Linked DNA regions of Mus musculus: all the other regions are reported to be linked to region 1. Evidence: microRNA targets listed by miRTarBase, many of them from high-throughput screens and not tested one by one. Region 1 holds a microRNA gene; each other region holds the end of a gene's coding sequence.

Region 1 (3,133 bases):
GTGGTACCCAAGTGTGCATGTTCTTGCTTGGTGTGTGTGACCCAGTCTGCTAACGCTCAGCGTCTAATTCGTCCCCAGGACCCTACCTGGAAGACGTAGCACGTCTACCTGAGGCGGTGGCTTTGCTTTCCAGGCCGAGCTTTGGTACTTGGAGAGTGGTTATCCCTGTCCTCTTCGCTTCACTCATGCCGAATCGTACAGGGTCATCCACTTTTTCAGTATCAAGTGCGCAGACTCTGCAGCCTGGCTTCCTGCGCCTGGATCCTGCCACTGCCACTTCCCATCACACATCCTTGGACAAGGGTGTCGCCGTGTTATGCTCCTTGTCTCGTGTGTCACTCGCGAGTCCTCTTGGGGTCCAATGCATATGGCTCTCGGGGGCTGGGAGAGATCAGGCTCTTGTAGGGACTAGGCTCATTATTGACCATGTGCCAGCCCAAACTTTTGTCTGCTGGGAGCTGACTGCTGGCAGCTATGATGGTGATATACAAACCTCTCCTTGGATTTGGGAGCCCATGTTGAGACAGACATTCTCTGTCAGTCATGTGAGTGGGTGTTGGAGCTTAGAGTTTGTGCTGGACTTACAAGGTGGTGCTTGTGACTCGGCAGTGACATCATTTCTGTAGCAGCTTCTAGAACAGAAGACCCCATGCCGGGGGTCAGCAGGGCCACCCACAATGCTTGCTCCACTTAAGATGGACACTGCCTGGCTTCTTGACCCCAGCCACCATTACCCTTAGAAGAGGCTAACGTGAGGTTGTCATGCTGAGTCCTGGGGAGTCATTTCTATAGCCTCTCACCTCCCTGGTGCTTAGAATGGCCATCAGTAGTACTGCATGCATGGTGCATGTATGTATTGGGTGCAGCCACGTGTGAGGAGTGGTGATCACTCCCAAGAGGCCTATGGATGCTGGTATTCCTGCTGTGCTACTGTTTCATACTTGAGGAGAAATTATCCTTGGTGTGTTGGCTCTTTTGGATGAATCATACAAGGATAATTTCTTTTTGAGTATCAAATACTGCCCTGGTGGACTTCCGGGATGACGAGACGGTTGTTTAAAGAGGTGCCTGGTGCATGATGCATGGGTTAGCCTTACCTGGGCACAAGGCAAGAGAGCACAGAACTGATGTGTAAGAGCTACACTCTGATCCCAAGTCAGGATCTTGCTTGAAGAGTCCAGGGGTTCCTACGTGGCTTGGTCATGGTGAGATAGCACAGTTTTCATGACTTGGCAAATCGTTCTTTTTTTTTTTGGATGGGCAGCCAATCTCACAGATAGTCACTGGGGTCAGGCCCCGGCCCCTTGCTCAAGAGTGTGACTGGTTCCACAAGCATGTGCTTGAATGACAGAGGCCGGCGAGCTGTCTGGTCTGGATCGTGAGAGGAGGTCCTGCGGTTTTTCTCGGTGCGGTGGTTCTCTGACATTTGCAGGGTGGCTATCAATAGTGTGCTCGCCATATTTATGGAGATTAATTGGGACGACCATTGTTTGCCCCATATCTGGATTTGCTTCCGAAGGTCCTAGAGCACAGTGGTGACTTCAGCTAATGGACATTGGTACCTGCTGCAGGAGAGGGAGAATTTATTGAGGCAGAGTAACCTCAGAAGGCACCCCCCCCCCCATGTACTCTCACAGTGACAGCTTTGAGGTGGCAACAGCTTTGGTGGCTTGCTTCTTTGTGCTTGGTCTGGAGAACACTGAGAATAACTCACCTGTCTGTTGTTGCTGTTAAGTCTTAGTTCAGAGGAACTCCTTGAGAAGGTACTGGGTCAAGCATCTCTTTAGGTAGACAGAACTTGGCCAGGGTCTTCTAGGTCCAGCACCCACTCTCCTCAGCATCCATTCTGAGCATAGACTTCCTGTGGTTAATACAGGTGTTAATAAGGATACTTCCTGCCGCCGCCGCTGCCTTAAGTCACTCTCTATCTGTTCCTATGGCTTCCTTTGGGCTGACTTTTTCTTAGACATACCTGGTCAATAGCATACCATTTCAGCTCATTCCATAATCTGGTGTGTGTGTGTGTGTGTGTGTGTGTGTGTGTGTGTGTGTGTGTGTGCCTGCATGCATGCTTGTACAAATTGTTGGTTAGTGTAGGGCCTCTCAAACTGCTCAACGCTGCTAAGATATTCGTCACCTAGGGATCTTGTTAAAAAGCAGAGTCTGATTGAGGGGCCAAGATTCTGCATTTTTAGCAAGCTCTCAAGTGATGCTAATGCTGCCGGTCCGTGGACAACACATGTAGCCACTGGGGGCTGGAGGTGATGTTGCATGTTCCTTGTAGTGTGTGTGCTCCATCTCCTCCATCCACCCCGCATTATCCATCATGAGTGAGCATTGAGCCAATATGCTACCTTTTGATGATCAAACTGTGGTCAGTTGTGAAAGGCCACCTGCTGTACAAACACCATTATTGATTATTGATTATTCTTTCAAATCAAAGCATGCCTCTATGGGCTTCCCAGATATAAGAGCTACTTCAAGGAGGGGCTGCCTATGTCAGCCAACAGCAGGACTTGTCAGCACCAGGTTATTGGTGACTGAGACCATCTGACTCTGTAACTCTCCATTTCCAGTCAATTGTAAGGAGCACAGTTCTGGAACCACAGCTTCTGGGGAAGGAGGAGTCCTATCTGTCGTATCTACCAGCAACCCTCGACGTTATCGAGAGAGGTAATGCCCATGGTGCCATTGCCCTTCCATGATATTCGGCCAGCTGCTGGCTTCTTGCCATCCAGCTTACCTCTCAGGGAGGACCAGATAGACTTCCATTTTGTTTCTAAATTGACCTGCCTTAGGAAGCTCTTGTGGGAATGAGTTTTTCCGTCAGACCAGATTTTAGCCCTAGGACCAATGTGTAGCAGTGAGTGGTTGCTGTCAGCTCATGTGCTTTCTTACAGACTATGGGAATTCACCTCTCAGAGTCTAGGAATTCAATTTGTCATTGGAAGAATCTTCTGGAAGGAGAGAGGACAGTAGACAAGAGGCCCCGGTTTTCCTGTCAGAGATCTCTGAGAATATTTGAGGTCATTCATGTTCTGTTTGCTTATTGTGAACGAGACACAGTTAGCTTCCTTTTGACTATCAAACTCTGCTTTTTTGAAGGGCCCCCTGCACAAGCGATATGAGACTG
Region 2 (3,133 bases), not on the chromosome of region 1:
CTGTCCCTGAAGGAAGTGCTGTTTCTTAGGTGGGTGAGCACTTCCTGTCCAGACGCAGAGTTTGTCTTCAAGGGCGATGATGACGTGTTTGTGAACACCCATCACATCCTTAATTACTTGAATAGCTTATCCAAGAGCAAAGCCAAAGACTTGTTCATAGGTGACGTGATCCACAATGCTGGGCCTCACCGGGATAAGAAACTGAAGTACTACATCCCAGAAGTCTTCTACACCGGCGTCTACCCACCGTATGCCGGGGGTGGTGGATTCCTGTACTCCGGCCCCCTTGCCTTGAGGCTGTACAGTGCGACTAGCCGGGTCCATCTCTACCCTATTGATGATGTTTATACGGGAATGTGCCTTCAGAAACTGGGCCTTGTTCCAGAGAAGCACAAAGGCTTCAGGACATTTGATATTGAAGAGAAAAATAAGAAAAATATTTGTTCCTATATAGACCTAATGTTAGTACATAGCAGAAAACCTCAAGAGATGATTGATATCTGGTCTCAGTTGCAAAGTCCTAATTTAAAATGCTGAAATAGACATGAGCTGCATTTCACAGAAAGGCCTAGCCTGACTAGTTCCCATGGTGTGCTCTCACAATAGGTGAGTTCTGTGTGAGGCTATTAGCCTTCATGAGCAGGTAGCCCCTGGGCTCCCAAGCCCTCAGTCCTTCCCTTGCCTTGTGAAGAGGGAAGGCTGAAGACAGCTCAGCATGGCAGGGTGAGTGGTTATGACCCTTCCTCTGGCTGCCGGTCCTCAGTTTCTAATTTGTTTTCTTTCTCCTCCACAATTATGTATGTATGTGTGTATATATGTGTGTGTGTACATACATACATATATATATATGTAGGACACAACCTGGTGGCTTTGTGAAATGGAATTCTATGTATTTTCATAAGATTTTGAAAGTTGTCTAGAAAGTAGACTGATGTCAATCTCCCGTCACCCAGCAGTATTGTCCTTGTTACTAGAAACCGTTACTTCCTTTATGCAAGGAAAGCCACGCAGTGCGTGTAGTTCATCTTGTCAGGGCTTATGGCCATGAGGACAGAGGGGATTTTCTTTTTACTTGTGTTTGGTTTCCTGGGTGGCATCATGGTAGTTAACCTATTTTTAGTATTTGAAGATCATGAGTGTGATTCCCTAATGGCCAACTGGAGACTGAGTAGCCCGACAGCCATGGGTCTGTGAGTGTTCAGAGACTGGGAAGCATTCGCCACTTCTGAGCTTTGGACGTGATTAGTCAGTTAAAACCCCAAGATTCTATTCTTGCCATATTATCACGTATTCCTTAGATAAAATTCTGGGTAGTGACACTTCCCTGTCTCAGTGTAGAAGTGCCTGTGCTTTTATTTATTGTTCAGATCAAACACCAAAACATTTTCTTAAAAAATATTTTGTGTAATATTTTATTTGTATACAGTGTTTGTGAAATATTTAACTAGAGCATGATATTTTATTTTTTCTCATTTTTAATTCTTTGAGAATTTCATACAATGTGTTTTGATTGTATTCACCTCCCCATCTCCTCCCAGATCCAGCATGATGTTTTAAATGTTAAGCTGTAACATGTTAGATAAAGTTAACTCTTATTTTTGAATTTTAAAATTTGGATGGGGGGGTATGAACTGCTAGAGAAAATAAAGTTCTGCCAAAATATTGCATATACTAGTATCTTGTAACATGCTTTCTTGAAATATTTTTGTGCTTTAGAGGGTTCTCACCTGTGCTACAGGGGACTGGGAAAAAGTGGAAATAAAGTGATTGTATTTTTTAATCATCACGTATAATAAGTGATACTCTTTCTGTTCTTGTTTCCCTGTGTTTCATGACATTCTCCCTGGGCTATCTTTCCCAGAAACCATTACAGTCATCATTATATTAACAGTCTGTGTCCGTGGGTTAGCCATCACTGCATCTGTAGTCTTAAAAGCACTTCCCACCTATGTGTGTCTTCCTGAGAGCTGTGCCATCTGGTTTTTTTTGTTTCTGTTTTTGATTTGAGGGGGTCTCTATGGGGTCCTGGCTGTCCTGGGGCTCAGTATGTTGACCAATCTGGCCTGGAATTCCTAGAGCTGCTCCTCCCTCTACCTCCATTGTGATGATGGAATTGAAGACATGCATTCCAGCTATAAAGCACCTGGACCCCCACATCCCAAGCGTCTGCAAGAAGGACCCAGGCATTTCCAACCACGGGTTGCACTTCTTTCTCGACCTGTCAACTAATATACACCTTCATGCCCTTCCTCCAAGGCCTCCCTGAGATCGACCAAACCATTTTACTGACTTGACCCAGACCAAGAAACCCTGGTGTGCAGCACCCATGTCTGCTGCCTGTCTTTATGAAAGGTATACAAAGTAGAAACTCCTATTCTGTCCTTGGATTGCATTGTTTGAGAACATGATCTAAGGTGGCTAGGAGTGTGTGAAGGCAGCTGCCTGCTGGGACTGGGGATCTGCTCAGAACCCCGGAGGAGGTGCTGAGTGCATATGGTTTGTGTCTGAAGCCCAAGGGAGCTGTCTTTTTCTAAGACTGCTTTAGAGATGGTATACTTTCTTACAAAGTTTGTACACTAGCTCTAAAACAAACAGGCTTCAGGGTAACACTGCCACTCTCACTACACATCTACCACAGAAGAAAAATGTTGGTTGAACCATGACAGGTTTTTTTAATTTGATATTACTTTGTGGCTTAAGGTGACTCTAAAGTGTTACCCCACCCCCAACTCGCTGCTTCAGTTTCTCAGATGCTGAGGTTACCAGGTTGTGGCGCCATGCCTAACTGTGGCCATTTTTCTTTTCCCTTTTTTTGCCTTTTGAAAATGCATTCCAGGACCTGGGGTGTAGATCATTTAGTAGAAAGCTTGCCCGTCATGCACAGAGACCTGGAACCAAACCCCAGGACAACATAAACTTGGATGGGGTGTGGTGACACGGGCCTGTGTCCCGGCACTCTCCAGAGGTGGAGGCAGGGCTATTAGAACATCAAGGATATCCTTGGCTACATAGGAAGTTGCATGCTAGTCCAGGGTACACGAGAACCTGCCCTGGTCACTTCCCGTCCACAAAAAATCCCCAGTGATGTTTTGTTTTCTGGTTGCTTGTGCTACGGGAGTCTGTTGTTTATGAA
Region 3 (3,133 bases), not on the chromosome of region 1:
TCTTGAGTTGTAATCTATCCATCTTTTGGTCCCTCCATGGAACAGTGCACGGTTTGGCCACCTGGACTTTGCTTCTCCCTCAGTGTGGCTTATGATTTGGACATATTTTCTCTTCTCCCTAAAGCCTGAAGGAGAATGATTCCGGAATGCTTTATATGGTATGAGCCTACAGGGCATTCTCTTCATTGCTTTAAGAAGCAAACCCAAGTCCATGAGGAGAGGAGAAAGGGGCACTTCTCAACACTGTCTCTTTCACACTAAAGTATAGCTGAAAAGAACAGAACTCTTCATTTTTTACAAGGAAAAAAAATGAGGCTTCTGATCTTTACTTAATTTATTATCAGTATCTATTAAAAGATCCCATATCCTGATGTTAGCTGAGAGACTGAAATTTTCAAGGAAGGATCCGGTGCTATGGAAGCTACCTACACAAGCACAAAGCACACTTTGTCTGACTTTGTTTTGTTTTTTAAAACAGGATTTTATGTAGCTCAGGCTAGTCTCAAACTCATTCTCCTCCTGCTTGTAGCTACCAAGTGCTAAGATGCCCAGTGTGTACCAACAGGCCTGGCTCTGTGTGCATTCTGGCTGGTTTCTACTAGATAAGTTACTGACTTACACTGCTCATTGTAACTCTCCTTTAAAGCTGATGGGAAATTGGTATGGTTAGACTAAATCATCTGAAAAAAAATGTATTTTTTTTCCATTTTTTATTAGGTATTTAACTCATTTACATTTCCAATGCTATACCAAAAGTCCCCCATATCCACCCACCCCCACTCCCCTGCCCACCCACTCCCCCTTTTTGGCCCTGGTGTTCCCCTGTACTGGGGCATATAAAGTTTGCAAGTCCAATGGGCCTCTCTTTCCAGTGATGGCCGACTAGGCCATCTTTTGATATATATGCAGCTAGAGTCAAGAGCTCCGGGGTACTGGTTAGTTCATAATGTTGTTCCACCTATAGGGTTGCAGATCCCTTTAGCTCCTTGGCTACTTTCTCTAGCTCCTCCATTGGGAGCCCTATGATCCATCCATTAGCTGACTGTGAGCATCCACTTCTGTGTTTGCTAGGCCCCGAAAAAATGTATTTTTATTGACAGAATTTACGTGCAGGACAAACACTGAATCTGGCATTCCATTATACTTCTTAATACTTTTATTTTGAAGTTGTACTACTCAATTTCTGGGAAGTTAATGGAAATCAGCAATTCTGTGTTAAACTTTGATACATTATTAAAAGTAAAACAGGTTCAAGTAAAAGTAGCCAGGATGCTGCCTGCTGGGCCCAACAATTACAGATAGTGGCCATGGATAGTGGGGCAGTGACGCAGTGATACTGCCTGCTGATTCTGCAGCCACCAAGGTTGCCTCTCTGCTGACCTTGACCCTGAAGTCCTCATGTACATTTGCTTTGTCAGACTGAGAAATACATATTTTCTAGCATCAGCCTATGGATAGCCAAGTCTAGACTCCAATTCTTTATACCACTTTAGAATATGCCATTTAATGACTTAATGCTCTGGTGACTATATTATGAAAGAAATACACGCAAACAAGGCTAGTCGTAAAGTGGCTTTAATTTTCATCAGAGACTAAAGAAACAGCTTTCCTGTGAAAGTAAAACACACTACATGATTTTTAGGAATTGATATGGGTGAAGGGATAACCCTACCAATGGGACAGAGCCGGTGTTAGCCATGATTTGAATATGCAGTTATTTCGGTGTTAACAAGGTAACAGAAAGGGAGATGGAGTCGTTGATATGGTAGTCAATTTAGAATGACTCTAGAAATTTAGAACTAAATACCATGAGTAACTAAAAAGACTTCAAACTTCTTAGATTTATATTCAATAAAAGTTCTTTTTAAAAAAAATAGCATCAAGAGATTCTACATTCTTGGAAACAAGAATACTACTTAATCTATAAGTATCCAATTTTGCATATGCAATAATGGATATTCAAATTTCAAATAGCATAATGTACCTTCTCAGTAATTAAGAAAAATGTTAATTCCCTGAGATACTTCTAAAGATTTATGTATACAAATACATATATACATATATTTTATGCATACAAGTATGATATCTTCATGCACACCAGAAAAGGGTATCAGATCCCATTACAGATGGTTGTGAGCCACCATGTGGTTGCTGGAATTGAATTCAGGTCCTCTGAAGAGCAGCCACGGCTCTTAACTGCTAAACCATCTCTTCAGCCCAGAGATACAACTTCTGAATGAGATGCTCATCACTTGTCGCTAAACAAGTCAGGTGCTTAATTCTTCCAATAAACTCAGTTTAAATTTATTGAAGCACACTTTGTCTGACTTTGTTTTGTTTTTTAAAACAGGATTTTATGTAGCTCAGGCTAGCCTCAAATTCATGCTCCTCCTGCCTGTCCCTACCAAGTGCTGAGATGCCCAATGTGTACCAGCAGGCCTGGCTCTGTGTGCATTCTGACTGGTCTTACATTTTAAAACTATATATAAAATACATAGTTTTTAAAAGTTACAATTTATAGGATGCATTCCATTATTAAATATTGGCATTGGGAACCCTTTTGTTGAGACAGGGTCTCACATAGCCTAGGCTAGCCTCAAACTTGCTATTTATAACCAAGGATGGCCTTGATCTCTAGGTAGCCTGCCTCTACCTCCTGGTACTGACATTGCAAAGATGAGCTACTACGACCAGCTGGGACAATTTTTTTTCTTGTTTTACCATTAAATATCTGTGAATATTACCAAAATTATAGTATGCTTAGCAAAACAAACAAACAAACAAACAAACAAACAAAAAACCTAAGAAGACAAATGCTTTGGTCCTTGTATACACTTTGTGTAAATAACAATGCCCTTTCACCATTTCTTTTCCTGTAATTCCATGATTCTAAAGATGATTATGTTCACTTATACATAACAAAAAGATTGCATCTGCTTGGGAATGTAGCTACTCAATTTTCTTCCGATTTCTTCCATTTTTGGAATCCCACATGATTACAATATTAAAGTATACCAAGAAGAATACAAAATTTACACAGGAAACAAAACATATAAGTACAGGAAACAAGTCTGGTAATTTCTGAGGAGGGTCCAGTGTTACACTCAAAATCGTCAGGAGGACCATGGTGATG
Region 4 (3,133 bases), not on the chromosome of region 1:
CAAACCAACAGTTCTCTACTTCATGCACGGATAGTCTTCTTACCCCATCTCTGTCTTCAACATGAACGCAGAGACACCATTGTTGGAAACAAATATGAAGACTTGCTACAGAAACACACCGATGAGAGAGGGTGTGGTCATATAGTGTCCTGGGACAGGCCTAGCACAGTGGAGATGCTCATAAATGTGACACTGGAGAGGACAGATGTCAGGAGTCTCTCTTGAGTACTCTGATCTCGGAGGACAAAAGCCTCAACAGACAATATGCAGTGAAGCCTTCTAGCCACTTGAGGGCGCCATCACCATTTATCCGACAACACATGTCCATAGACCCAGCCACAGAGAGGTCCTGAGGGTTTTGGATTTTTCTTTTTCTTTTCTGTTTTTTTGTTTTTGTTTTGTTTTGTTTTGTTTTCATAGAAAGCTCAGAGTTTAAACTTTGATTGCATACCCCAGCCCTGCAGAAAATACACGCAAAAAACGGTTGTTAAAATACTGACATAGATTTCTTTGCTCCTTGCAAACGTCCTGCGGTTGCTTTGCATATTTACTTGAGTCTTCTGCTGCTACAGAGCTGATCTGAAATCTTAATCCAGGCCAGCCCTCTGGCGTCAATCTTCCCTCATTGACTCAGCCTAAAACTCAGGAGTCAGCAACTACCCACCAAGAGCCCACACCCATGAATCGAAGGAACAGAACAAAAGACATTCTTTCTTCGTGACTGAGCCAATTTGGTCCCTCTGATGTGTTCGTGCAGCAAAAATGAGAATCAGCAGGGCAGGCACAGGAGGATTAAGGTGGCGCTGCCTGGACACTTCTCAGAGAACAAGAGGGCCAGGAAGGATTGTCAGGCTGCATCTTGCCTCCTGCCCTCTCTGCTCAGCACACGGCCCACACCTAGCAGACTCCTCGGAAGGATCCATAACAGCCTGGCCCAATGACCTGGAAGTCCTGCAGCCTTTGTGTTGTCTGTTTATTCTCAGGACAAGGCTTTGCAGAAATCACTCCTTAAATTTACTTCCACAATCCTGGGTACCTTTTGCCAAGGGGCTCTCTCTTGGGACTCAGGATGCAAATTCCCCAGAGAAGATGTGGCCACTGAAGGATGGGGAAGAGAGGGGTCACGAGACCCTCAGAGTGACAAAAGGGAGGATTTACAATTGATGAGGCTCCAGGGCAGCTAAGCATCTGGCTTAACAGAGTGGAGGCAGTGGAGTTCAGATTTGGGGGCTGAAAATTAAAAGCCACCAGTACAACCAAACAACATAAACATACACGCGCGCACGCACACACACACACACACACACTCTAACAAAGGAAAGTGACAGCTCCTGTTCTGAGTTGTCTGCTGAAAGCAGGGGGACAACAAGAATGGCAAAGGGCTGTGCCTGGTCCTATCCGAGGACAATATCTCCATGGCACTGAGATTCGGGAAGAGCTGCGATGGATAAGGATGCCCTCACCGTCTCCGAGGAAAGGCTCACTGGAAGGAAGACAGAGGGAAGCACTCCTCCAACCTCTCAACCAGGCTCTAAGACGCCCTCCCACGCTCCACTCTGCTAAGCTCAGTGTAGCAGCTCAGCACACTCCACTGGGCCTGTGCACAGGGGCCACTTTGGCCATAATGCTCCCTCCACTCAGGGCAGCCCCTTCAGGCTTCACTAGACATGTCCCCTTGAAAATTTGGCAAAGCACCTACAGAAGAAAGCTACCTGCCCAGGGGTAAGTCAAGAGACCAAGCTTGCCAAAGCCAAGCCAACAACCACCCGTCCCCCCCTCATCCCCAGTCATTGCCTTTGATCAGGGCAACCCTCAGAAACTGGGTGCCGCCTGGAGCCCTTGACCCTTCCTTCAGGTTGGCTCGTTTATTATTATTTTTTTTTTTTTCTTTTTTGGCAATGATGGGACTGAGCCTTTTTGCCTCCCTGACGGACTGGTTGGCTGGCCACCATCTGCTCCTAATAGGGTCCTGCAGGGTTTCTTCTGCACATGTGCAGTCAGTCCTTTGAAGCGAAATTCAATGCTTTCATCTTGACTATAAAGTGGTTCCAACAACTCCGGCTGAAGGAAGAGATAAGATACAAATTGGGCCCACGCTACACATATTTTTCAAGTCTTGCTAAGAAAGTAAAAAAAAAAAAAAAAAAAAAAAGAAAAAAAAAGAAAAAATGTTTGGGTATATTTTGATCCACGGGTGGCATTTTCAAATGTGCAAAAACAAAAATGTCTTGGAAGAGAATCCTTGTTACTATGAAGGCGTCTTCCTCTTGCTTATCAGTTGTGAGAGAAACTCTTCCACAACATTATGGGATCCAAAAGGAGAGGACCCAAGGGGCTTAAAAGAGTACATTACACAGCACAGGAAACCCCATAGCACCGATCTGAGAACATGAGTTAGATTGGCGAGTAGATGCGGCACCTGGAGCTACGCACTAAGTTACCAAAACCAAAAACTAGGAACCTAGGATGTTGGCATCATGACACCTGGGTGTGATCAGCTAACCAGGGCTGCCGCCCAGAGGCAACCATCACCTCGACCGGAAGCTTCCAACAAGTTCCAGGTCTGACTGGCTCCTGCAGAGAAACTGCAGAGTTCAGGTGCTGTCGCCTGTCCAATCACAGAGCACGAAGCAATGAGGAAAAGCCCAGAGGGCTCCCCTGACCCGACCCTGCCATGGGCAACGTCTGCTGGGAGTGGGCAGCCTCTTTAGTCAATGGCTCCCGGGTGGATGCTGAGCACCGGAGGCTCCAGGCAAGTCGGGGAGTAGTTCAGGTGAGGCTCCTTGATCCACAACAGGGGCACCCCGTTCTTCCCCTCTGAGTTCTTGCTGGAGTTCCGGCTTTTGAAGCGCACCAGCAGAATGGTGATGATGAGGATGCCAAAGATGGGGAAAGGGTAGAAGAAGACAAAGTAGAAGAGGGCATCGTTGGAGCAGATGAGCGACTGCAGGGTTGAACCTGGAAGGCAGCAAGGAACCATGAGGATGAAGCCTGGACTCTGTGCGCCTGCTCCCTGCTCCTGAGAGCTCTCCTGACCTGATGAAACTACCCCAGACACCCTCCTAGTCCTCCCCTGCCACCTGTGACTGGGAGACTTCTGCCTTGCTCTTTTTCTCATGGCACCCCAACCAAT

Evidence for each region. Region 1 holds the annotated microRNA mmu-miR-539-3p (CAUACAAGGAUAAUUUCUUUUU, at 986-1,007, shown strand). A microRNA usually pairs through its seed, bases 2 to 8, with sites in the 3' UTR of a target mRNA and lowers its output. Matches are read on the target gene's strand: a 7mer-m8 pairs with bases 2 to 8, a 7mer-A1 pairs with bases 2 to 7 and ends in A, and an 8mer does both.
Region 2: the mRNA of B3gnt2 is a reported target of mmu-miR-539-3p. Seed matches in the 3' UTR shown: 7mer-A1 at 1,417-1,423.
Region 3: miRTarBase lists Alg6 as a target of mmu-miR-539-3p. Seed matches in the 3' UTR shown: 7mer-m8 at 2,072-2,078 and 7mer-A1 at 2,040-2,046.
Region 4: the mRNA of Igsf3 is a reported target of mmu-miR-539-3p. The part of its 3' UTR that is shown has no 7-base or 8-base seed match.

What each region holds. Positions count from the first base shown.
Region 1 is chr12:109,727,191-109,730,323 of GRCm38, forward strand. Mir539 (microRNA 539) reads left to right here and starts at 939; the gene lies at 939-1,012. It overlaps Mir487b (microRNA 487b), which reads left to right and starts at 143; the gene lies at 143-224. Mir544 (microRNA 544) reads left to right here and starts at 2,135; the gene lies at 2,135-2,212.
Region 2 is chr11:22,833,397-22,836,529 of GRCm38, reverse strand. B3gnt2 (UDP-GlcNAc:betaGal beta-1,3-N-acetylglucosaminyltransferase 2) reads left to right here. Exons shown (of 2, transcript NM_016888.5): 2 at 1-1,791. The coding sequence ends at 537. Among named protein-coding and RNA genes, the nearest start is that of B3gnt2, 25 kb to the left of the region's middle.
Region 3 is chr4:99,761,885-99,765,017 of GRCm38, reverse strand. Alg6 (asparagine-linked glycosylation 6 (alpha-1,3,-glucosyltransferase)) reads right to left here. Exons shown (of 15, transcript NM_001081264.1): 15 at 1,558-3,133. The coding sequence ends at 2,950. Among named protein-coding and RNA genes, the nearest start is that of Alg6, 48 kb to the right of the region's middle.
Region 4 is chr3:101,459,612-101,462,744 of GRCm38, reverse strand. It overlaps Igsf3 (immunoglobulin superfamily, member 3), which reads right to left. Exons shown (of 11, transcript NM_207205.2): 11 at 1-2,958. The coding sequence ends at 2,708. Among named protein-coding and RNA genes, the nearest start is that of Gm40109, 47 kb to the left of the region's middle.